Caenorhabditis elegans: one gene and its partners. The protein of the gene in region 4 purifies or fractionates together with the protein of the main gene of each other region. This does not show direct contact. Each region holds a gene or a part of one and is shown on either strand. Other genes may lie near its edges.

Region 1 (5,763 bases), on a different chromosome or scaffold from region 4:
TGAGTCATTGCCGCATATTTTTGCCTCGTTGACACTTTATTCATATATCTGATTACAAAAGATGTCCTTAAAATTTCGGTGTCAAACCATCCACCCCTTGGGGCGGTGATCACAATCTCCGTGAACACCGGCGTTCTGTTCTGCATATCCATATCCGAAAAGTACACGCATCATACGGGTCATCTATACGCAAGAGTTGGATAGGTGACAAATAGTTTCTTCATGTTGTATGTCTGTATGTGTATATATCTATGTATGTGTGTGTGCGACTGTGCGTGTGTCTGTGTGTGTGTGTGTGTATGAGAAAAGGTGAAAAAGTTGGATGTGCTTAGAGAAAGAAAGAGAGCGAGGAAGAAGGATGAACGACAAGAAGGTTGGGTTGGCGCGCGAATCAAGGACATCAATTCTTCGAACCAATCCTTCACACACTCCCCCCCCCCCCCCCCCTTCCCTCCTGAATCCAGCCTGATGGTCGTGCGGCAACCTCGTCCCCGCTGAGTTATTCTGACTACCTGGCGGCGATGCGAACGAAAGGTCCTTCTTCGTGTTCGCCTTGTTCGCCGCTGTTCACTTTCACCGTACGACGCCTTCCCTTCCACACTGCCTGAGACGTTTTGAGAGATTTAACTCGACACCCTCACTGTATCCGTCCTCGATCACACACACACGTCTAGTACCACATAACAGCCGCTTAGGAGGAGAGGCGATTCTTCGTTTCTTGTTGGAGAACAACTGGACACCTTGTCCGTACTTTCCATCCTCTCACCAAACCGCCTTCTCTCTTTGTTCATCGTTCGCTTCCTTCAGCACTTTTATTTATAATCCAGTAATTTGTCGTCTTTCTGTTTTCCATCAACGTTTTGAAATCCAAATCGGTTACATTCCTTGACCTCGATAGCGTTTTGTCCCACATTATTTATATTTGAGTCCATTTTTAGATTTATTTGTTTTAATCCAACTTCCCCATATAATTTTTCAAATCTGAAGGTTCCCAATTGGTAAGTTGTTAGGAACCATTTTTATGGCGACAAAATGACCAAATATCAAAATAAAACTTTTCACAACAAATTTGAAATTTTTGAAATTTTTTTATTGACAGTGAAATAGTGGCATTTACCGAGATTTTGCCACTTTTTGAAAAAAAATTAGAGCACTATAAGTGTTTTAATACAAATATTTTTATCATAAATAGACCATAAAATTAACTAGGAAATTTTCTTGATCTACGACTTTCACAAAGTGGCAAAAACTAAGATTTTTTTCAATTTTAAAAATACCATTTTAAATTTTTTTAAATTTTTTGAAAATATTTTTATTATGAAATTTGTAGTGTCATATGCATGTTTCAAAAATTGTTTTTCCCCACTAGCGCTACACTACCTTTAATGCCAACTTGAAACACTTTTGCATTGTTCGCTTCATCTTCATTTCCGTTCAAGACCCAACCAAAAAAAAATTCCAATCCCATGTTTCTGGCGTGGAACGGACATCAAAAATGTTTATAAAAACGAATCGTTCAAAAAAAATCGTACAGATGATTCATTCCCAGGAACACATTGTTTTTGTTGGCGTTTTCCCGCGTTTCCTCCCAGATTCTCCGCCTTTCCAAGCTCCGCCTGCATGAAAGCATTTGTCTAGAATTTTTTAGAATAATATTTTCTATCACAAGCGTTGGAAGCGATTTTGAATTTCCATTTGTCTTAAGAAAGTCTTGAAAACAAAATCTTTGTTTTCAAAATTTAGTGTTTGAAACTATTATCGTGGTACAAGAATTACCAAATATCATTGTAGAACATTTAAAAACATTTTTTTATTTCCTGTCAAAACATGCCCCAGTTTTTGTAACTTATGATTTTGGAAGCCGAGCAAAAAAATTTTTGCAAGTTTTATACTTTAATTTTTTTAAATTAATTTTTTTTAAACATAATTTCCTTAACACTAATATTTTCAAAAATGTGGCAATTCACCACAGCTTTCACTAGAAAGTTGAAAAAATCCAAAAATTTTTGGAGTCTTTCATTATGATATTTGCACATTTTGGCCTCTTGCATTTGGTCTTAAAACGACCAAAACTGTACATGATTGTTTGGAGAACAAATGTTTATTAAATTTGATTTGCTTCAATCGTACACGTGACTCACCTCTTCTTATTGTTTTATTTTTTGCGCCCATCCGCTTTCCCATCGCTTCTCCGCCCACTTTCGTTTCTCTTCTTTTTTCAGTTTCGGCTCATTTTCCGCTCTTTACATCTTATAGCAAAACGGATCTCAATTTCAATTAAAATTGAAAACAATTTTCAGATATTACGAAGTTAACAAATGGGTGACCTGCAGTACCTGCAGGTACAGAGGGCGGCCGTTGCCGATCCTGCCACACTTGCCGCGTGGGCACAGCGGAAACTGTGCTGGGTACCAGATCAGAACGAAGGATTTCTCATTGGATCCATCAAGTGAGTTTGCGTGCTCTCAACTCATTCCGTAATCGGTAGTAATTTCAGACGAGAAACAAACGATGAAGTGCTCGTCGAGCTTGTGGACACGAGTCGCCAGGTCACAATCAGCAGAGATGACGTTCAGAAAGCGAATCCACCAAAGTTTGACAAGATCGAAGATATGTCAGAGTTGACGTATTTAAACGAAGCGTCGGTACTTCACAACTTGAAAGACAGATATTATTCTAGTTTAATTTATGTGAGTTGAGAAAAAAAAACATTTTAATTTCAAAATAACTATTTTAGACTTACTCTGGTCTCTTCTGTGTTGTTATCAATCCTTACAAAAAGCTTCCAATTTACTCGGAAGATTTGATTGAAGAGTTCAAAGGAAAAAAGAGACACGAAATGCCACCACACATATTTGCAATTGCTGATACTGCGTACAGAAGTATGCTTCAAGGTGAGCAATATACATACTTTCCAAACAAAGCGTTTGCAAAAATCATATTCTTTTCAGAACGCGAAGATCAATCGATCCTGTGTACCGGAGAGTCTGGAGCAGGAAAAACTGAAAACACGAAAAAAGTTATTCAATATTTGGCTCACGTTGCTGGAGCCACTCGAAACAAGTCGCTAAATGCTGCTGCACAGCAAAATATTGTTCAAAAGGTTAGTTACTATAAATATTTGTTACATCTACTTTAAAAGGTATATGATGAAGAATAATAATTATTATAATTGATATATTTAGCCAGATGTCCGCAATCCGATCGTAAGTTTGATCTTGTTATCTTGCTATTTTGTTGTGAATTGTTGTCGTGACATTGTCGTGATACACTTTTCTGTGACTATTTCAGTAACAAAAAATATTGTTCCGTAACAATTTATTTATTGATTTTTCTTGTTCAGTACATCACCTTGTTCTAATATGTCAACAAAATCCAACAGAAAAAAACTTGTCTAATCATATCTAATTATGTTAATTGTTCTAATTGATTTGAAGAAGCAGTAACGGTTTTTGTGTATTTTGAAGGTATATACCCAAAATGTGCTCAACTAAAAAAAGTCGTAATAAGCCAAAATTGAGTATTTTGGCGAATGTTATCCATTTTTTCGAAATTTTTAAGCTGTGGAAAAAACATTTTTAAAAATTCGAGAACATTTTAAAGTTTATAAGTTCAAAAATTTTCAAACCGTTTCTCCTCCTTTAAGGAAATCAACAAAAAAGATGCAGTTCTTCCCCATTTGCTGCAAACAGATTATTATAAAAAATGCTTTTAAAATCCAAACGGCTTTCTCCAAACAAATTATTCCCAAAGAGCTTCATCCTCGAATCAAAAAATGTTGTTTTATTGTGCTCACAACCTGATCAAAGTCATGTTAATTCATTTAGCCACCACTGCAAAATAGTTTTACACGTTTAATATCGAAGTTTTCAGGGAGAATTGGAACATCAACTACTTCAAGCCAATCCAATCCTTGAAGCTTTTGGTAACTCGAAGACAGTGAAAAATGACAACTCTTCCAGATTCGTATGTGTGATATTTTTAATCTTGCCCCCCGTGCATATTTGGTTTTTTTTTTCAGGGTAAATTTATCCGTATCAATTTCGACATGAGCGGCTACATTAGTGGTGCGAACATTGAATTTTATCTGCTGGAAAAATCGAGAGTGCTTCGTCAAGCTCAAGACGAAAGAAGTTTCCACATTTTCTATCAGATACTCAGAGGATGCAGCGCCAAAGAAAAAAGTAGGTTGAGTCATAAAATCCAACATAAGAATTGGATTTATAACAAACCGAACGCATTTGTTTTTATTAGCCTGGTGAATCATGCGTGATTCATCATTTGACAAAAATGACGTTGAAAATTTTTAAGTAAAACCGTTAGGCCTTTTAAAAATTGAAACAGGAGTAACCCAAGTGGAAAAATGGTTATAAACCACTTATAAGTGTAACCAAATATCATAACAAAACTTTTCAAAATCAATGTTGAAAAAATTTAATTGACGGTCAAAAAAGTGCTGTTATTGAGTTTGTGCTACTTTTTCAAAAAACTATAGCACTACCGCATTTTTGAATCCCTACAGTGTTTAAATATCAACATTTTAAACATTAATTGATCATAACATTTGAAAGCCCAAAAGAGTGACAAAAACTGAGTTTTTTTCATGTATCAAAAAATTATATAAAATTCCACATTTAACTAATAATTTCAGGTGAGTACCTTTTGGAAGGAGTCGACAACTACAGATTTTTGGTAAATCGTGGAATAACTCTTCCAAACGTAGACGATGTTCAAGAGTTTCACAGCACAATCAACTCCATGCGCATTATGGGATTTGCCGACGATGAAATTTCATGTACGTAAACCATATTGAACCTGAAAATCAAAAAACCATGTTTTTTCAGCAATTATGCGTGTTGTTTCTGCCGTCCTTCTTCTCGGAAACCTGGAATTCACTCAGGAGAAGAAGAGTGATCAGGCAATGCTTCAGGATGACAGAGTGATTCAGAAGGTGTGCCATCTTCTTGGTCTCCCAGTAATCGAGCTGCAGAAGGCGTTCCTCCGTCCACGCATCAAAGTTGGAAGAGAGTTTGTGAACAAGGCACAAAACCAGGAACAAGCCGAGTTTGCCGTCGAGGCCATTGCAAAGGCCAGTTATGAAAGGCTGTTCAAATGGCTTGTGACCAGAATCAACAAGTCTCTTGATAGAACTCACCGCCAAGGAGCATCATTCATTGGAATTCTCGATATTGCTGGTTTTGAAATTTTTGATATCAATTCATTTGAACAAATTTGCATTAACTATACAAACGAGAAACTTCAACAGTTGTTCAACAATACCATGTTCATTTTAGAACAAGAAGAGTATCAGAGAGAAGGTTTGTTTTTTTTCGGAAAATGTAACTTGCAAAGATTTACAATAATATTTTCAGGAATTGAATGGGATTTCATTGATTTCGGACTCGATTTGCAGCCGACAATTGATCTTATTGAGAAACCAATGGGAGTTCTGGCCCTTCTTGATGAAGAATGCCTTTTCCCTAAAGCGAACGACAAGTCATTTGTTGAGAAGCTTCAGAAAACACACAACAAGCATCCGAAGTTCATTGTTCCTGATATGCGATCTAAGAGCCACTTTGCCGTTGTTCACTACGCTGGCCGCGTCGACTACTCTGCTGATCAATGGCTCATGAAAAACATGGATCCATTGAATGAAAATGTTGTTGGACTAATGCAGAACTCCACTGATCCGTTTGTTGCTGGAATTTGGAAGGACGCCGAGTTTGCTGGCATCTGTGCGGCGGAAATGAATGAGACTGCATT
Region 2 (6,855 bases), 2.1 Mb from region 4:
CACAACATATTTGACGCGCAAAATATCACTTAGCGAAAACTCCTGTAATTCTTTAAATTACAACTGTAGCGCTTGTGTCGATTTACGGGCTCGATTTTTGAAATGAATTTCTTTTCGAATAGTGACAACGATATTTTGTAGCTTTTAAGTTTTCTTCTAATATTTGATCGATTATTTATTAAATGATGTCCGTAAGCGCTACAGTAGTCATTTAAAGAATTACTGTAGTTTTCGCTACGAGATATTTTGCGCGCCAAGTATGTTGTGCAATACGCATTCTCAAAATTTTGTGTTCCCATAATAGCATTTCGTACATGGTTGGAAGAAGGTTTCCGCACGCTCATTTTATCGTCTTAATTTTTGAAGGCGGCCAATGCAAAAAAAAAAAAATAATCTAAAAATGTTTGATTCTTGTATTCAGACATATTCTCTCAATGGCACAACATTAACCACAATCTATTACAGAGGGCGAATTGTATGGGCTCACGGAAAACTTCAAACAGTTCCCGGATCTGGGAAATTTATTCCCCTTCTTGCGAATTCACCATTCGTTTTTTCAACTCACGAGAAAAGGGAACAGAAAATTCAACCAAGGATAGTTGAAAGGCTTGAATGAAATTGCTTTTTTATTTATTACTTTTCTTGTTCTGATTAACTTTCGAATTACCATTTTGAGTTAAAAACGTGAATAAATTGTTTGTTCAATATTGAGATTACAACCAAAAAGTAATATTTAGTCGACTAGTCAATTGACTTGGAAGCAGCTCTAGAAATGTTTAATGTTCCAATTTCAAAAAAAAATCGAACAAAATTCCCCCTCATTATCAGACAATCTTCGTTTTCACTTGAAGATCCTCAAAAAACATCGCCTCGAACTTTTACGCACAAAGCAAATCTTTGAAAAATATTATCAGCCTAAAACTTTTATCATACCGAGTTTAATTACTACGGGTCACACAGAACCACATTACAAAAATATAAAACATTTGACTAAAAAATTACAATAAAACTAGCGGAAAAACCGTAAAATTATTATCCTAGGTGACCGTAAAATTATTATCCTAGGTAAAACATCAAGTGTATGTGGCATAGCTCCAAATCTATGCATTGACGCGCTTCTGATTGAGATCGGTTTGTTTGTAGCCGATTTCCTTTGTAAGTTCCTTGAGGCGCTCGCCTTGCGACTCCTTTGCTTCAATTGGTCCTTTAGTCCTGCAAAATATAAATAAATTTTTGTTTTAAACAAAAAAAACCTACGTTAGTTCACCCCAGAGATCTCTTCCACGCTTTGCATACTCATTTGCCACATAAAGTGGAGTGGGAATCGACGTGCTCAGGGAAACAATTTGGTGATGATGACACAAAGTGAAGGTCAGCTCCTCCAGGCGGTCCATTGGAGCTTTGCAGTCGTCAGCAAGAACAGTGTACAATGGTGTCTTTGCTGTTCCTTGAAGAGTCGTGTGACCGTTCAGGAAGAACTGCTTACATGCCGGATTCGTGACAGCGTTATCCAAGACAATGCCCGGAGGAATATTCATTTCAGTGGCTTTGCCGCCCGAACGAAGCTGAAAAGTTAGCGTAAAGAGAATAATAAAACAAATTTACCTGATCACGGAAGAATCGGTAACTGTGCTCCTTAGTGACGACGATGAAAATCAATTTGATTTCTTTCGAGTAACCATGGATAATAGCTCGGGCTAATGGGATTTCATAAGCCAGAATAGAAGCGTGAGAACCCTCCGATGCACCACTTCTATAAATGATGATTCTTTTTGGCAACGCTTTGCGGTTCTTTTCGAACAAATCGATTGAATTTTGCAACACGTCTTCAATTGATGCCATTGTCTGTAAAAATTACCATGTTGTTAACTCGAACACATTAATTATTTACGTCCTGTCCGGAGGGAGCCAAAACGAAATCGCCGACAAACTCGTGATTTGCAACAGCATTTGAAGCGAAGCCAATGATTTGTGGATTAAGATGTCCCTTGTTATCCATCATGTACTTCGTTCCAGCCGGTGGTGCGGAAACGCCAACTCCGATGATCAATTGTTCGTCGGTCATGCTCTTCTTTGCATCCGAAACAGTGTAGTTAAGACCACCTAACTTCACGTTAGTTTTGTTGATGATGTTCTCCAACGTCAATCTCTTCCCATCTTTGACAACGGCATTGGCTTTGGAAATTTTCATATCCTGGACGATCATCATTGTTCTCTGTTCCAAGGCTTTGTACTGCTCTGAAATTTTCAATGAACCATGAAAACTTAAGGAAAACTTACTGTGGAGGTGAACGATTGCGTCATCAGTGATCATCAAGACATACTTGCACTTACTCGCAGCCACTTTTTCCAGCTGAGTCATAATTTTTTCCGTACTGTAAAGTCCTGTTTCACATGGTGGCTTGATCACCATGCCTTTCTTCTTGCAAGAATCAATGAACATTCCGACGAGTTGGCTTAAGAATTGAATTGATTCATGTAAATTTCTATTTGTCTTACTTGACATCTCCAATGGAGAATCTGCAACCTGGATTTCCAACAGCGTAAGCAGCCCACAAATCAGGAACAGTCGCAGGCTTCACAAACCATCCTGGAGGCGCACGCCATTTTCCCATATCCGACATTACCGATCTCTGGTATACAAGTTCTTTTCCATCAAGCTCACGTGCTTGGACCTGGAAAAAGAAAACAAATATATTTTTTTACAATTTACACAAACTAACCATCAGAGGCTCCGAGTAAACCTTGATTCCAAGAGCGACGAGCAACTCGTTTTCGAGTGTAATGTTGACAGCATTTTTACCAGTGATGATCATTCGCTGACGGACATCCGGAAGAACCGCGCACTCCTTCGTTGTCTTTTGAGATTGATTTCCCGTTTGCTGAGGAATGGTGACACGTTGATTTCTGGACACAGTCATCAGTTCAGCCGGGAAGTAATTGTTGTTGCCTCGATCCTTACAAACCACCAAATTGGCGTTCGGATACTGTAGACTGATCTTGTATTTGTCCGCATAGTACTCGGCGATTGAACAAGTTTTTCCATCGGGCAACTCAAATCTGGTCTTTGTGGCACTTTCGTGAAAGATACCTTCGATTCTTAGATGGCGCTTTCTGTTGGTATAAGTCGAATAGCAATCAAGTCCTTTAATCACTGCCGCAGCCTTCTCACGGGTCATATTATTGAGTCCATTTGAAGGATCTTGTCCCGTGATGTCGAACAGTTTTTGGATCACAGTTTGCTCTTTGTGGAAAGCAGCTTTCATACCATCAATCACGAGAGATGGATTGTTCTGTCCGCGACCATAAGGACCCTCGATGAATTGAATCGTCTTCTTGAGGCCAGGATAAAGTTGTTTTCCGTCTCCTACGTCGACACAGTCTCGTTGATCGAATCCTTCTTCGGTGGCGTTGAGGAAATATACTTTTCCGTGCTCGAAGCATCCGAAACGATTTCTAAAATGAAGCGATGCTTTTAATAATTTTCGAAATTCACTTACGTTTCTCTCACGCAATGTTGATTCAGAGCAAGTTCCAAGAATTGAGTGTATTCTCGATTGTTTACTTCAATGTTTTGATCCGCAGTACGCTTGCCCAGATTTTCAGAAGAGAGCGTGATAGAGTTGTCCCTTGGGGCATAAATCTCGAGAGAAATGCAAGGCAGGGTCTTAAGGTCGTCATTGCCGGTATCAGCTCCGTTGATTTGGAAGACTTTGGACTTCGTACCGTTGGCATCCAGTTCTGAGAACAAGTTGACCGTCGTGTAGAGAGTTGATTGACCGTCATATACAATCTGATTCCCATCCTTCATTTTGAAGAATTCCGGGTTCTTCTCAACCGCAAGGAAAAAGATGTTGCAACACTTATCGCGACGATCCTGAACGACGAAGTCCTCCTTTCCTTTTTTAGTGAAAGTCACTTCCTTTGTTGAAGTCAAATCGGCCTTTGCGTGAACCATAAAACGATGAACTGTGGTTTCCTTTGTGACTTCAATTCCGAAGACATTGGTTTGGATGTCCACTGGTCTGCCCATTTTTCCAGGTTCGGTTGGCTTCATGTACATTTTCGCACCATCCTCAACCTGCAAATATGGCATTAGAAAGATCTTTGAATGCTGATAAACATACGTTTAACTGTTGTAAACGCTTGATGCATGCGTCGTTGCCAGTGCTTTGGTGAAGCTTTTGAGCATCGGCTGGAACTGGAGGCATTGGAGTCATAGCTCCTGGTGGAGCAGTGACTGGTGGCATTGGAGGCATCGGTGGATGCGGTTGTGGTGGATGAGGAGACATCTTATTACTATTGCAATATTAGTTCTGAAAAAAGCTTATATAAATAATATTCTGCACCGAATAAGCGAGATTGGAGAACATCTATAGAAAATTATGAATTTGTGAGATATTTAACAATAGTTTAAACAAATAAATCAGTTTTCTTCAAGAGATCAATCTAGAACGAAAATGGTACGTTATGAAGAAAGGGCAAACTACGGAATTTTCGTATTGCCGACGAAAAAGAATAATGATTCGAGATTTTTCGGTGTTTCAGAGGCGGCATAAAAACAAATAACGACTAGATTTGTACAAAATCATCATTATTAATGACGCAAGAATACAGAATCCGATAATTGGCGGCTAGATCAAATGTAGATCACTTTTACATTTTTAAGATTCAACGAGCAAGTTTCTTAAGATTTTGTAACTAGATTATTATTAAAATATAAAAATAATCTTGAAAATTAACAAAAATTATTGAAAACTGTCACAAACCGGAAAAGAATACAAAAAACAATTTCTTCGTCCTAAAAAATTTAAATGACAACGCATACAGTACATAAGAATGGAGATCGCTGCGAGACCCACTCAGTGTTAAAACGAACGCTCCTTGAATTTATTTTTGCTGTACAGCCTTATTTTTCTCCTTTTTACAAGTATTGTGTGCTTTCCATGTTTTAAAAAGTGACTTAGTTGTTAATTTTATTTTGAATGATACTCATCTAATTCAGGCTTGTAGCTTAGATCGCAATGAAGTTAATCGTTTGCAACCTATGTGGATTCCCGCCAGCAAGAAGGCAATTTTACATCACCACCTGCTCTCACATCTTGTCGAACAACGCAGACTGCTGGATTTTGTTATTTGTGTAAGGTCCCTACGAAAACTCTTAAAATAGATGGAAATCTGCCGAAAATGTGCGGAAAATGTTCAGCGCTGTACATCCCGATTCGCGACGTGACTGTAAAAAGTACAGATATTCTCAAACGTCTCACCAGAATTATTGGTTTTTAAAGTATTCAGAATTCAATTTATTAGGAAAACGAAAAATAAAAGGTAATTTTTTGCACTTGTTTCATGCAGAAGAAAAAGTTTTATTTCAGTCGGTGATGCTAAAAGATCAAACGGCGAAAACAGAGAAAAGGACACAGGAAATCACATGCCAACTGTCGAAGCTAGCCAATTTTGAGGAAAATAATCGAAAGAAGCTTCAAGATACTGAACGCGAGAACAAGAAGCTTCGAAATTTGTAAGTAGTTTCTGCACGAGATTAAATTTAACATTTTTTTTCTATTTTAGAATCAATTCCCTTGAACTGAAACTTGTCAGTTCTCCTGTTATCGACAATAACGATTTTTTTATTCAAGGAAAATCTACCTCTTCAAATCCTTTTTTTTTTAATCTCGGAAAATGACGAATTGCTCGAACGTGTATTTCACTTCCATTGTGCCACCTTCACCAAATTGTCAGACTTCCAACTTCTTTTTTTTCCAACACCAATGTATGTTGCAAATGAGTACGCGAAGAGTGGTCGTAATTTGTGGAATGAAGCCATGTGAGTTTAAGAAAATGACAACAGTTGATATTAAAATATTTTTGCAGCATTGCGGATGCAATTCCCGAAGTTTCTGGACCAGAGGCAGCTCGTATGAAGCAGATTACCGATAGCATCAAATACAAGGAATCCGGCTTCCTGATCGACCGTCGTGTCAATGCTTCAGCACTAATAATTCAATCAAATTGTAGTATTTTCAATTCCAACTTCTAGTTTGTGAGAAGCATACCATGATTTTTTATTTGTATCCCACCCTGTCATTCTTGTTTTTGCGTTACATACAATGCGTATCTAATAGTAAGTGGTGTAACTGCTAATTTCATTTTCCCCCGTTGCCCTATTATTGTTTTGACCTACGTGGAAATTGATTTTTTGTTGTTGTTGTTGAGTGCAGATTATAGAATGTAGCCTGTTGTTATGTTAAGTTGTACGTGCAATGTTGTTGTAGTCTCCTTAAACCCATAAAAATCATAAAACTTATTTCAGTTTTAAGTTTGAAAAATCGGGATCACCAAAATAATATTTCTTTCGCTTTTTTGGTTTTGAACAAAGTTTTAGATTGGGAAAATTTTCAAAAAACCAATACATGGAAATTTTATTTTTTTTGTTTTTTTGTTATGGAATACCAGTGTTCTCCGTAGAGCGCACTTTCATTTATATTTTCGGCGCGTTATTTATTGTTTCAAACCAACTCTTTGCATTTTGCGCTACATTATATAACGTTTTAATCAATTTCCACTTTTTTTTGCAGAATGCCTCCTAAACCCCGAATAAAAGTGCCAATATCGCCCGGGAAAAAAGCTCGAAATAATTTTGCCCGACGAAATCGTCAATTGTCAAGCGTAATTATCACAGAATGCCCGATCGACTTTCCTGAATATGAGTTTTCAAAAAATCCGGCGCTGTTTAAGTCGTTTAATGATAATCCAGAGTTCAAACCGTATGTTAAAAATTGTTTTCAAAGTAACAAAATTTAAAATTTCTTCAGAAGCAAAAAGAAGAATAAGCCAAAACCAGTGTTCCCACCA
Region 3 (4,876 bases), on a different chromosome or scaffold from region 4:
TATTTGACTTTTTTTAATCTGGAAAAAAGTGGCTAACATCTAGGTTTCACATATCAAAACTGTGTATGTCGTCCAAAAAAGTATCCTACGAGTTTTATATTTTAAAGATGCTTCAATCGTTCGGATCAGAACATTGTTTAGGTTTTAGCCTACAGTAATCATAAAATTTGAAAAAAGTACCATATTTAAACAACTTGGCAGGTTGCCAAAACTTTGAAAAACATTTTGAAAATCAAAATATTTTGTAAGAGTTTATATAAATCATTACTGAAAATACTTTAACTTTAAGATCTAACTTCATTTTTTCCAAAAGTCTGTCCCGTTTAAAACACTAATTTAAATAAAGTTATCCCCATCAGGGATATGCGCAAATTATACAAATTAACCTATTGCGGCATGTTGATCCAACATTTTTAAAAATTAAAACGTAGTGTCAAGATGTAGAAAAATATATTATTAATCTGCAACATATATTTGTTCTAGGTTAAAACTGCGTAGGTATGTATGCTCGAAAATACATGAAAGTTGCCAATTGTATTTTTGGTAATTGCCCAACTTTGATTCAATTTTTGTTTTCAAATAAATATATTTTTGTATTTTACTAAATAAAACTGAAAACAATCGGAAAGTTGCTAAATGGTTTATTAGTTTTTTGTGATTTCCAAACAAGCTATTAGAAAGTTTAATCAAACTTTCTTTTGTTTGATGAAATTGAAGACCTTATAAAACTTTTCTGAAGGTTGAAATATTTTTGAAAGCATTTTTAAATAGAGTTATACATATAACAGAAAAGCTAATACCCAAGGTAATTCAAATATTAATCGATTCGTGGAAAAGTGTGAAAAGTGAACTTGGAATAGTCGGGGGAAAATCAAAATCAAATAGAAATAGTTAAACATAGAGAGACCCGATAGATAGAAATAGAGAAAAGAGTTGAAGTATTTTGAAAAACTTTGATAACGGGGAAGAATCGACTGATCACGCACAACCATCATCAGCCAACAGCAGCACCGCCCCTCCCCGCATTTTATGGCAACAAGAGCAAATAGTTTATCATTCTTGTCACCATCTAGTATAGAAAAAGTACAACATTTTTGTGGTGAACTGAAAAATGTGACGGATTCCAATTGACTCATCCAGATGTGAATTCAGAGAATAATTGAACATGTATTGTAAGAATATGAAAGAGGAAAAACACATTATTTCGGAATGTGCTATTCCAAAAAAGATCCTGCAAAATTTTTTTTCAAACAAAGAATCAATTTGCCTGATTACAAGAATATACCAATTTCACAGAACGATTGGATGATTTCGGAGATTGTCGACGACAAAAATGGAGAGGGAGATTATTAGGAGCTAGATATCGATAGGTATCCGAAAAAAAGTTTTATTCTAACATTTTTACTCCTCCTCACTTCTGAAAAAATATTGTTCGACTTAAAAATTTGAAATTCCCAGTACCCTTCCTGGGCGCGTTCTGCAGACATAGCTATTACCGTATTTTCTTAATTAGTCTTTCACACTCTAAGGCCACTTGAACATTAGTATGCAGGTTCTAATAGTCTTTCGCTGAAGTTTTGACAGACCAGCGATACCTTTTGGAAATTTCAGTAAATTCGTCATTTTTCGGGCAGATTAATCTTAAAAAACGTCCAAATAACCGATGAAGTATTGGAAAAGTATGTTTTTTTTAGAGCTTTTCTTGGAAATAAATCAATAAGCAGTATTGGTGTCTTTTATATATGTGTCTTTTATATACCCATTCTATAAGCTTAAAGGAGGGCACATTTACGCGGAATGGTCTCGGCACGCGCTCCAAACTAAGTTAAAAACGTTTGGCATGTGCGTCTTTAAAACTACTGTAGAGGTTTTGCAAGCGAATTTTTATCGATTTCCTTGTTTTCTTCCTATTAATCGTTTCTTTCAGTTTCTTTTCCAATTTTCTAGAAATTATGTGTTCAATTTGTGTTTATTAGTAATAATGAATGTTATAGACAAGAAAATAAGCATGTTCACTAGGAAAAACTCTCTTTGATTATTAGTTTTCTGTATTTTATTTGTACCGCTGTTTTTTTTCTTCTTTCAATAATTTTCAATTTTTCTACCCAATTAACAATTGTAGGCTTCCAAATTCCACTTTCCGAAATTTTTTTTATGGGTTACGGTGTACAAATCTGCAAACAGCGCCACATAAAAATGCACGGATATTTTTGCCCGTTTGCAAAAAAAAAATTTTTGCCTTAATTTTATTATAATTTTATCAAATTCATGTATAAAACTATAGTTTCAATTCCTGGAATTAAACAAAACTTCTATTTTTATTTTTCGTGTCCTTTACTCGAGCGTAATATCAATTTTCAGGTGGATGAAACTTGATTATGTTCTTCTCCTTCTTTTCCATTTGTGCTTTGTCAACACGGAATTGATAAGCGTGATTACCGGTAAGATTAAAGATTCCGGTGAGAAGAAGTCGAATTTTTAATTATATTCGGTTTTTTCAGGCACGACTATCGCGATATCGGCCGGAGCGTTTTGGGGTCTTAAGGATCGTTTAAAGTGTTACTTATATGAATGCTGTCATGAACCTGACGTAAATTTCAATTATCACAGTAAGATATTTTCCACCTTTTCACTGAATTCAATTATTCTTAATTTAAGCACTGGACGCGGATATTGCAAATCTACTGTTTGGCCAACATTTGGTAAAGGACGTCGTTGTAAATTCCATAAAATCTCATTGGTACAATGAAAATCCCCGAAAACCACTGGTTCTTTCGTTTCACGGTTACACAGGCTCAGGAAAGAACTATGTCGCTGAAATTATAGCAAACAATACGTTCAGGTTCGGAATTTGTTAAATTTTTAGTTGAAAAACAATAATTTCTAATTCCAGGCTTGGACTCCGCAGTACTTTTGTCCAGCATATCGTGGCGACCAATGATTTTCCAGACAAAAATAAACTGGAAGAGTATCAAGTTGAATTAAGAAATCGGATTCTAACAACTGTACAAAAATGTCAACGATCAATATTCATTTTCGATGAGGCTGATAAACTACCAGAGCAGTTGCTAGGCGCAATTAAACCGTTCCTCGACTATTATTCGACAATTTCTGGCGTGGATTTTCGAAGAAGCATCTTCATTCTACTAAGCAATAAAGGTGGAGGAGAAATAGCAAGAATAACAAAAGAACAGTACGAAAGTGGCTATCCACGTGAACAACTCCGCTTGGAAGCTTTCGAACGAGAACTTATGAACTTCTCATACAACGAGAAAGGTGGCTTACAGATGAGCGAGCTCATCTCAAATCATCTTATCGATCATTTCGTTCCATTTCTACCGTTACAACGAGAACATGTCAGAAGTTGCGTTGGTGCTTATCTTCGAAAACGAGGAAGAGGAGATCTGGTGTCCAACGTGGATTTTGTCGAACGAGTTCTTAATTCTCTACAATACTTCCCTGAATCTTCCAAAGCATTTTCTTCATCCGGGTGTAAACGAGTCGACGCTAAAACGGATCTAGAAATGGCCAAGATACGGCCACTTCTCTCAAGTGTTCATTTCGACGATGAACTATAACAATTTTTCTTGTTCATATCAGTATTAGTTACCACTATATCTTACTTAATTTCTAAATTATTACGGGAAGCTGTACATGTAAGCTATTGCATTCCTCGATGATTACCTCATTTGCCAATTTTTCAAACAGTATAAATATTCTTATTAATTTTTAACTTGATTATTCGCTATGCTTGGGTTCAATATCCAGTTTATATATATTTATGTATATTTTTGATGCCTTGTTGAAAATGCTCGTACTTTGTTTCAGATGGCTCCAAAAAAGTCCAAGAAGTCAAAGAAAGAAGAGTCGATGATTGATTTTGTCGAAGAAGAAGTTACTGGTGACGTCGATGAAGATGGTTTTGAACAAGCCGAAGACATGCCAGATGAGGTGGATTCAGATGAAGATGAGCCACCGAAAAAGAAGAAGAAAGTTGTGAAGAAAGAAATCAAACAAGAACTAGAATTGACCGATGAGAAGCTTCAAGAGTTACTGGAAAAGTATGAAGCGTCTAAGGCTACAGCCACAAAAACAAAAGACGACTTCAAACATCTGCCAAAAAGTCAACGTGGAAAAGCATTGAAAAGAGCATTGAGAAAGGACAAAAGAGCCAGACAGGGAGAAAGAGCTCAGATTCGAGATGAACTGGGAGAAAGTGCTCCACAAAAAGAAGTTCCAAAAACTATTGAAAGTATGCGGGAGTATGATGCGACGATGGTAAATGAAGAAGATGACGAAGTTGAGCACGACGAGGCCAACGACGAGTTTGCACCATATTTCAACAGAGAAACATCTCCAAAAGTAATGATCACAATGACTCCAAAAGCTAAAATCGTAAGTTTCACTTCTAAAATATTCAAAGCATTGATTTACCATATTTTCAGACAACCTTCAAATTCTGTTTCGAACTTCAAAAATGTATTCCAAACTCTGAAATATTCACAAGAAAGAACGTATTGCTCAAGACAATCATCGAACAGGCTAAAGAAAGAGAGTTCACTGATTTGCTTGTTGTACACGAAGATAGAAAGAAGCCAAATGGAATTATTTTCTGTCATTTGCCTGAAGGACCTACTGCGTATTTCAAAATCAATAGTCTAACATTCACACAGGATTTGAAGGTTTGTTATTTTGATAACTTCTTTATGTATTGCTTAAAATCATTAAAACTATTTTATGTAACTTACCTTGAAAAATCAGAAAAATTCAAATAAAGAATAAAATTCAAATTTCAGAAATTCGGTGAGTCGACATCTCATTTCCCGGAAGTGATTCTCAACAATTTCAACACACGTCTTGGACACAAGTGCGTTTA
Region 4 (5,625 bases):
GCGAGACCAATGCGCCTATGGTATGTCGAAAACTCCCATCTTTAGACGACTATGTAATAGAGGTCTTCATTTTTCACTGTTCGCCTTAATTTGTATTTCTTATTTCATTCACAATTCCTGTTTGGTTAGTTTCGGTCTGAGGTATTAAAAAAAGAAACGCACGCTTCGCGACGTTTCTTCTCCTTTTTTTGCGAAAAAAGTGAAAAAGTACACTACTCTTTCAAACATGAGGCCTTGCACTTTTGGCACGAAATTCTGTTTTTGCGACGACGGCGCGGCGGAGAAGATCACTGGGGGTGAGAGGGGAACACTGAATGGAAAAAAGAATGAGAAAGAGAGAACAAACTAGAGACACGCAGAGATCAAAAGCACTGAGCCCAGTGAAAGAGAAACACTTTGGTCTCTTCGTCTTCCCCTTCTTCCCCTTTTTTCCGCAAAAAAAAAAGAGTTTTCACTCTTTCTCTAACCATCTGTCCACTCTCGTGCAGCCTACCCCCAGCAGTCCTTCGGCGCGGCGCTCACCCCCAGGTGTGTAGAGAGTGGGAACGACGAAGAGACTACAGACATTTGGGGCGCCTGGGGGAGACAGCGGGGCAGCCTAGGGGTGGAAATTTAGAGAAATGGAGAGGAAAGAGGGGAAAAAGACTTCTACACACACACACAGACATACACACACTTTTATCGTTCCCACCGTGTTCAATGTCCCATAGGTTTTTGCGATTTTTTTTTCAAAAAATGAATTGAAGTTACTTCCAATGTATATCTGTTAGAATCTGTCTTGATATGAAAAAGATATGTCACGCCCCTTTATGATATTTTGAGACTTTAGGTCAAAAGGTCACAAGTTCAATAAGTCTTAGAAATAAAAATCAGTAATTGAAACGAAATTCATGAAACTTTGCTTCCAGATATCCGGACATGTAATATTTAATAAAAATTAGCAATGAATAGTTAGACATGTATCTTTTATATGGTTCATCCAGAACATAATTCGTACAATATATTGGTTTTTGCTACGTGGCCTAGAAAGTCCAAAAATTCGGCCAGTGATTCATCTTTAATTTTTCACTTCAGAACTTTGTGAAGCTTGCCGACCAAGTTATTTCAACGAGCAGATTTTCGAGAAAATGACCATAGCTCCTTTTAGGAAGGTGGCCGTGTTTTTGTATGTCGCGGCCACATAGTAAAAATCACTCGGTGTAAAATGTGATCCTAAGACAAATTCCAACTTTAAGTTTTTGGCCTGGAAAACCTAGAGAATTGTCCAGAAAACTCCTACAATTTCGAAAAAAGGGGCGTTTTTGTTTATTTTACTTTGATTAATCCAACGCGAGATGTTTATTTAGTTAGTGTTTTTCGCATTCTTCAATTTTCGCTTCCCGGTTTCTATTGCTTCGATTAAATCCCTGTAAAGCTTTCACAAAGCCTAAAATGTTTGCCATTTCCATCACTTTTTAAGGAGCTGCTCAAAAACTTACTTCCGTATTGAATTTTTTGGAAGGAAAAATGTTTCAGATTTTTTTGTTTAATTTTTTTTGAAAATTTATCGAAAAAACAAATTATGTCGCAAAAAATGTTTGGTAAAACAATTTTTGAGATAGAGAACCGTACCGTAATCCTTAAAGGCGCATAGTCGGTTGGAAAAATTTTGTGTTCGTGACGAGACCCAACACATAAAATTACGAGTTTTCATCTAAAAATAAGTGTTTTCAGTGAATTCTTCTATCAAATAAAATTTTAACAAATTTATTACAAAAAACTCTTTAAAAATATCTTCAGATACATTCAAATTCATTTCGCCCCGTATTTTCAAGGAAAAATCGATAAGCTACCGTAACCCCATTTGTTTTATTATTTTATTGTCGCATCATTTTTCGATAATTTTTGAAAAACATTCAATTAATATATTTAAGTCTCGTTTTATTTCAGGCCACGGTTGGCGAACGGGTAAAAAGGAAGAGCCGATCGCCTCGTTACTCAAGGAAAAGGCTCGACGTCGCTGGAGGAGGGAAAAGTTGGTTTTTTAGGATAAAAACCAACTTAAAGTACAAAAAGAGCCGGAAACGGCGGGAATGCGACGTTGGAAACGATCGTGATCTTGAATAAAGGTGAGGAACTTTTAAATAACAAAGCAAAATGCGAAAATATATTAAAAATTAAAAACGTCGAAAAAAAATTAATAAAATTTTTTTATTCGAAAAATTTTGACCTACCACAAATTTTTTGACTACTTAATTTTTTGTTTTTTGTTTTTATTTTCGAATATTAAATTGAAAGAGCGGCATTTTTCTGATTTTCCCATCAAAAATCCTTGTCATCAGCAGCCCTCGGGCCATTTTTCTCTCATTTTGTTCCATTATTTTCATATAAAAAGTGCACTTTTTTTGTGCTTCACTGACTTTTTTGTTCGATTAATTGTTCCATTCGTTCTGAAAAGTCAAAAAATTCATAAGTATTCTAATTGTAGAGTCATCGTTTGCCCTTTCCACTGATAATTAATCAACCTTTTCAGACTTGGAAAAAGTGAAATGGCGACCATCGTGCCATGCTCATTGGAGAAAGAAGAAGGAGCACCATCAGGACCTCGTCGGCTTCAAACTGAGATCGACGTGGACGCCAACGACAGCGGAAACGAGCTGTCGATGGGCGGAAGCAGCAGTGAAGGTAACACTTGAAAATTGAAAAAAAAGCTTCCAACGAAACAACTTCAGGTGACTCAATGTCCCACCATCGCGGTGAGCATTCACCAAACCATCATCATCAGGATAATCATCTTGGCTCGGGACCACCACCACCACAGTTCACTGGCTCACTATTTGACACTCCACCGTCAATGATTCAGTCACCACAGCAGCAACCACAGTTCCAGTTCAACACTGGATTCGGACTCGGACTCCCGCAAGACTCCTTTCGGTGCTCAGTCTGCTCCAAGAGCTCGACGATTGGAGTGCTGCCGTTCGTTTGTGCGCACAAGTGGGGTTTCAAGACAAATTATCAAAATGACAATTATTTTTAGAACGTGCCAATCATGCTACCAGATGACACCGTCCTCGTACGATCGACGGGGTAAATAAATATCTCAACTTTCTGTATGATTTATGAATTTTAGCTTGCAAGCTGTGTGGTGCCGTATCGACAGCCACCGCCAACTTTACATCGCAGATGTACCTGTCTCCGACGCTTCCATCACCGCCACGTGGAGCTCTGATGTCGGATTGTTCGACACCAACGATGAATAATCACATTAATTGTATGTTTTAATTCTCAATTTACACCGAAGAATAACCCAAATTCCAGCATCAACTCCACTTCATCAACCTCGTGCATTCTCATTCTCACTCAGTGGAATGCCTGGATCACCGTCTCCAGTGATGGGTGCACGGATGCCATCGTCTGCTGGTGGGCTCATGATGCGTCCAATTGGATTCCCCGACTCGGACAGCAGTTTGACATCATGGTCTCCATTGCAACAACCATCACAGCTTTCTATCAATAATCTGTCGAGCATCGGAGGACACCAGCAACAATCGCCGATGTTGATGCAAAATGTGTTTGATTCGTTGGCAGTGGTCAGTTTTTATCAAATTTCAAACAGAGAAAAGTACAATTTTGTGGAGTGTGGAGCTATAAACAAATTCAATTTCCCGAATTTATGATGTTATATATTATGTGGTCGCAAATCGAAAAATGGTTCAATTTACGGTTTCGCCGTCAATACCTAACGAGACCCAACTTCTGGGGGTGGACCTCGATTAAAAAATGAGCATTTTTCTACGGCCCCATAATATTTCAAAAATCATTTTTTTCGCAAAAAAAAGTTAGCATTTCTCTCTTCCCAAGAAACATATTTTTCTCCCTGGCTTCAATAAGTTCAATAAGTCTTTTTTCTAATTTTTTTTGCTAAATGCGCCCTCCTGCGAGCTGAAATTGCACCTAATTCCTCGTATTCTTTACAGAACGATGATACTCCTGTATTCTCTCCACTCTCTCCAACGAATACTTCAATGCATATGCCACCATCATTGATGGCATCACCAGATGTTCCAAAACATTCTGCAACCATAGCTCCACCACGTAATTCCATGTGCTCGACGCCACGTCTTCAATTGGCAACACCAATGTCTTCACAATCACAGCAAACTTTTCCAATTCCTTCACCACTTGGATCTCAGCCACAACAACAACAGCCAATGGGTCCGATTCAATGTCAAGGATGCGAATCGAAAATGTTAGTTTTCCCCTAAAACTTCAAAGATAATTAAATTATATTTAAATTTTTCAGATCGTTCGCCTACTGTATGCAATGTCAGGAAGCTTTGTGTATTCATTGTGTTCAAGCTCATCAGCGTGTTCGAGCCACCAAACAACATGCGTTCGTTGAGCTTCAGCAGTTGATGGCTACTTTGGTTAGTTTTTATCTTATCGTGTGTTACTACACGCTTTTTGCGTCTCAACACGACAATTATTTTTTTGGAAATTCATAAAAAGTATGCGCCTTTAAAACGTACTGTAATTAAACTTTTCCATTGTTTTTCATTAAATATTTGTATATTTATTTATCGAAAACCTAAAATTAAAAATTAAAACCATAAAAAATCGATGAAAATTCACAGCTACAAAAATTTGAAACTACAGTACTCTTTAAAGGCGCACACCTTTTTGTAGTTTACAAAAATTGACATTTTGAGACATGATACCGTAGTTTGGGAGCAAAAAATAATATATGTGGTCTATATTAATATCACCTTGATCCGTTTCAAGATTCTCCACGTGCTTGATGACGTGAATCGTTTGTAATCAGGAATCATAAAAAGAGTACGCAATAATCATAAATCAATGACTCCTGTCAATCAAGAAAAAACACAGAATCAGTACTTTTTTGGTGTATTTTTCCGTTTTTAAATGTCTTATCAGTAACTGATTGCAGGATTAGAACACAAAAATTGGCTGCCGACCGTTCCACTACATTAGTAAAACTTCTTGAAAATAACTTTTTGAAAACTATCAAGGAAAGTATTTCAGCTCACTTTTAGATTTTTAAATGAAACTTGTGTCAGCAGTTTCACATTTTTCAAACAAAACCAAGTTCCAAAAAGCTCCCAGAGTGTTTGCTTACCTCCAAACACCATAAACATCACCAAAAGCTTGCAAAAATCCACATTTCGAAGAAAACAATTTACTGAAAGCAGTTTCAGAGCTGAAATACTTTCCTTACAAGTTTATAGATTTTTCTATCCGAATATGTCCACGTACTAGGAAATTCCCATTTTTCAACATCCAGGCGTTCGTTTCCCTTTTTCTTCTCCTTCAACCACCTTTTTTCGCCATTATTCACAAGCCAGTCGGAGGGCCAATTTAGTGCCGAGAGAGAGAGAGGTGTCTGCTCCTCATCCGGTGCTCTTTTTGCACTATAGTATTATTTTTTGCTCGGCGAACACGTAATTCCTCTAAAATCTAAAAGTATTATTTTCAGATGAGCCGTGCAGTTCAACCACAACAAGCACAGCAATACACTCAAAATGTTGGAGGATCAGTTCGTCAAGCACTTGGATCAGTTGGAAGTGGAGATGGTATATGAAGATATTCTACAGTAATTCAAACTGTTTCAGTTTTCTTTTCAGGACA

The links.
Region 1: the proteins of lin-41 (region 4) and nmy-1 purify together in Caenorhabditis elegans (affinity purification with mass spectrometry, with the first as the bait; one large-scale study listed by BioGRID). This does not show direct contact.
Region 2: the proteins of lin-41 (region 4) and wago-1 purify together in Caenorhabditis elegans (affinity purification with mass spectrometry, with the first as the bait; one large-scale study listed by BioGRID). This does not show direct contact.
Region 3: the proteins of lin-41 (region 4) and ooc-5 purify together in Caenorhabditis elegans (affinity purification with mass spectrometry, with the first as the bait; one large-scale study listed by BioGRID). This does not show direct contact.

Annotation. Positions count from the first base shown.
Region 1 is NC_003284.9:2,907,238-2,913,000, forward strand, and holds the start of nmy-1 (Myosin-11), read left to right. Parts: upstream 1-2,289; 5' UTR 2,290-2,318; coding exon 2,319-2,449; intron 2,450-2,497; coding exon 2,498-2,690; intron 2,691-2,737; coding exon 2,738-2,894; intron 2,895-2,951; coding exon 2,952-3,103; intron 3,104-3,185; coding exon 3,186-3,206; intron 3,207-3,873; coding exon 3,874-3,966; intron 3,967-4,021; coding exon 4,022-4,184; intron 4,185-4,651; coding exon 4,652-4,795; intron 4,796-4,844; coding exon 4,845-5,318; intron 5,319-5,372; coding exon 5,373-5,763.
Region 2 is NC_003279.8:7,232,845-7,239,699, reverse strand, and holds wago-1 (Argonaute protein wago-1), read right to left. Parts: upstream 4,317-6,855; 5' UTR 4,293-4,316; coding exon 4,128-4,292; intron 4,082-4,127; coding exon 3,501-4,081; intron 3,457-3,500; coding exon 2,724-3,456; intron 2,676-2,723; coding exon 2,500-2,675; intron 2,457-2,499; coding exon 2,281-2,456; intron 2,239-2,280; coding exon 1,892-2,238; intron 1,846-1,891; coding exon 1,606-1,845; intron 1,566-1,605; coding exon 1,258-1,565; intron 1,213-1,257; coding exon 1,101-1,212; 3' UTR 908-1,100; downstream 1-907. Other genes in the region: dhp-1 (Dihydropyrimidinase 1), read left to right, coding at 466-616; R06C7.2 (BEN domain-containing protein), read left to right, coding at 5,199-5,521, 5,572-5,596, 5,640-5,827, 5,875-6,040; hasp-1 (non-specific serine/threonine protein kinase), read left to right, coding at 6,580-6,767, 6,816-6,855. UniProt on the Caenorhabditis elegans protein: Argonaute protein which is involved in the endogenous small interfering RNA (endo-siRNA) pathway. Interacts with secondary 22G-RNAs, which are RNA-dependent RNA polymerase-derived endo-siRNAs, typically 22 nucleotides in length with a 5'guanosine residue.
Region 3 is NC_003280.10:8,990,808-8,995,683, forward strand, and holds ooc-5 (Torsin-like protein), read left to right. Parts: upstream 1-2,352; 5' UTR 2,353-2,365; coding exon 2,366-2,459; intron 2,460-2,501; coding exon 2,502-2,609; intron 2,610-2,658; coding exon 2,659-2,842; intron 2,843-2,893; coding exon 2,894-3,578; 3' UTR 3,579-3,727; downstream 3,728-4,876. Other genes in the region: Brix domain-containing protein F44G4.1, read left to right, coding at 3,829-4,395, 4,446-4,682, 4,797-4,867. UniProt on the Caenorhabditis elegans protein: May serve as a molecular chaperone assisting in the proper folding of secreted and/or membrane proteins.
Region 4 is NC_003279.8:9,338,801-9,344,425, reverse strand, and holds the start of lin-41 (Protein lin-41), read left to right. Parts: upstream 1-1,929; 5' UTR 1,930-2,108; intron 2,109-2,512; 5' UTR 2,513-2,528; coding exon 2,529-2,664; intron 2,665-2,711; coding exon 2,712-2,973; intron 2,974-3,016; coding exon 3,017-3,066; intron 3,067-3,109; coding exon 3,110-3,250; intron 3,251-3,297; coding exon 3,298-3,569; intron 3,570-3,956; coding exon 3,957-4,228; intron 4,229-4,282; coding exon 4,283-4,406; intron 4,407-5,473; coding exon 5,474-5,570; intron 5,571-5,609; coding exon 5,610-5,625. UniProt on the Caenorhabditis elegans protein: Heterochronic protein which acts downstream of let-7 in temporal patterning. Plays a role in the developmental timing of postembryonic hypodermal seam cell division and fusion events and adult alae production.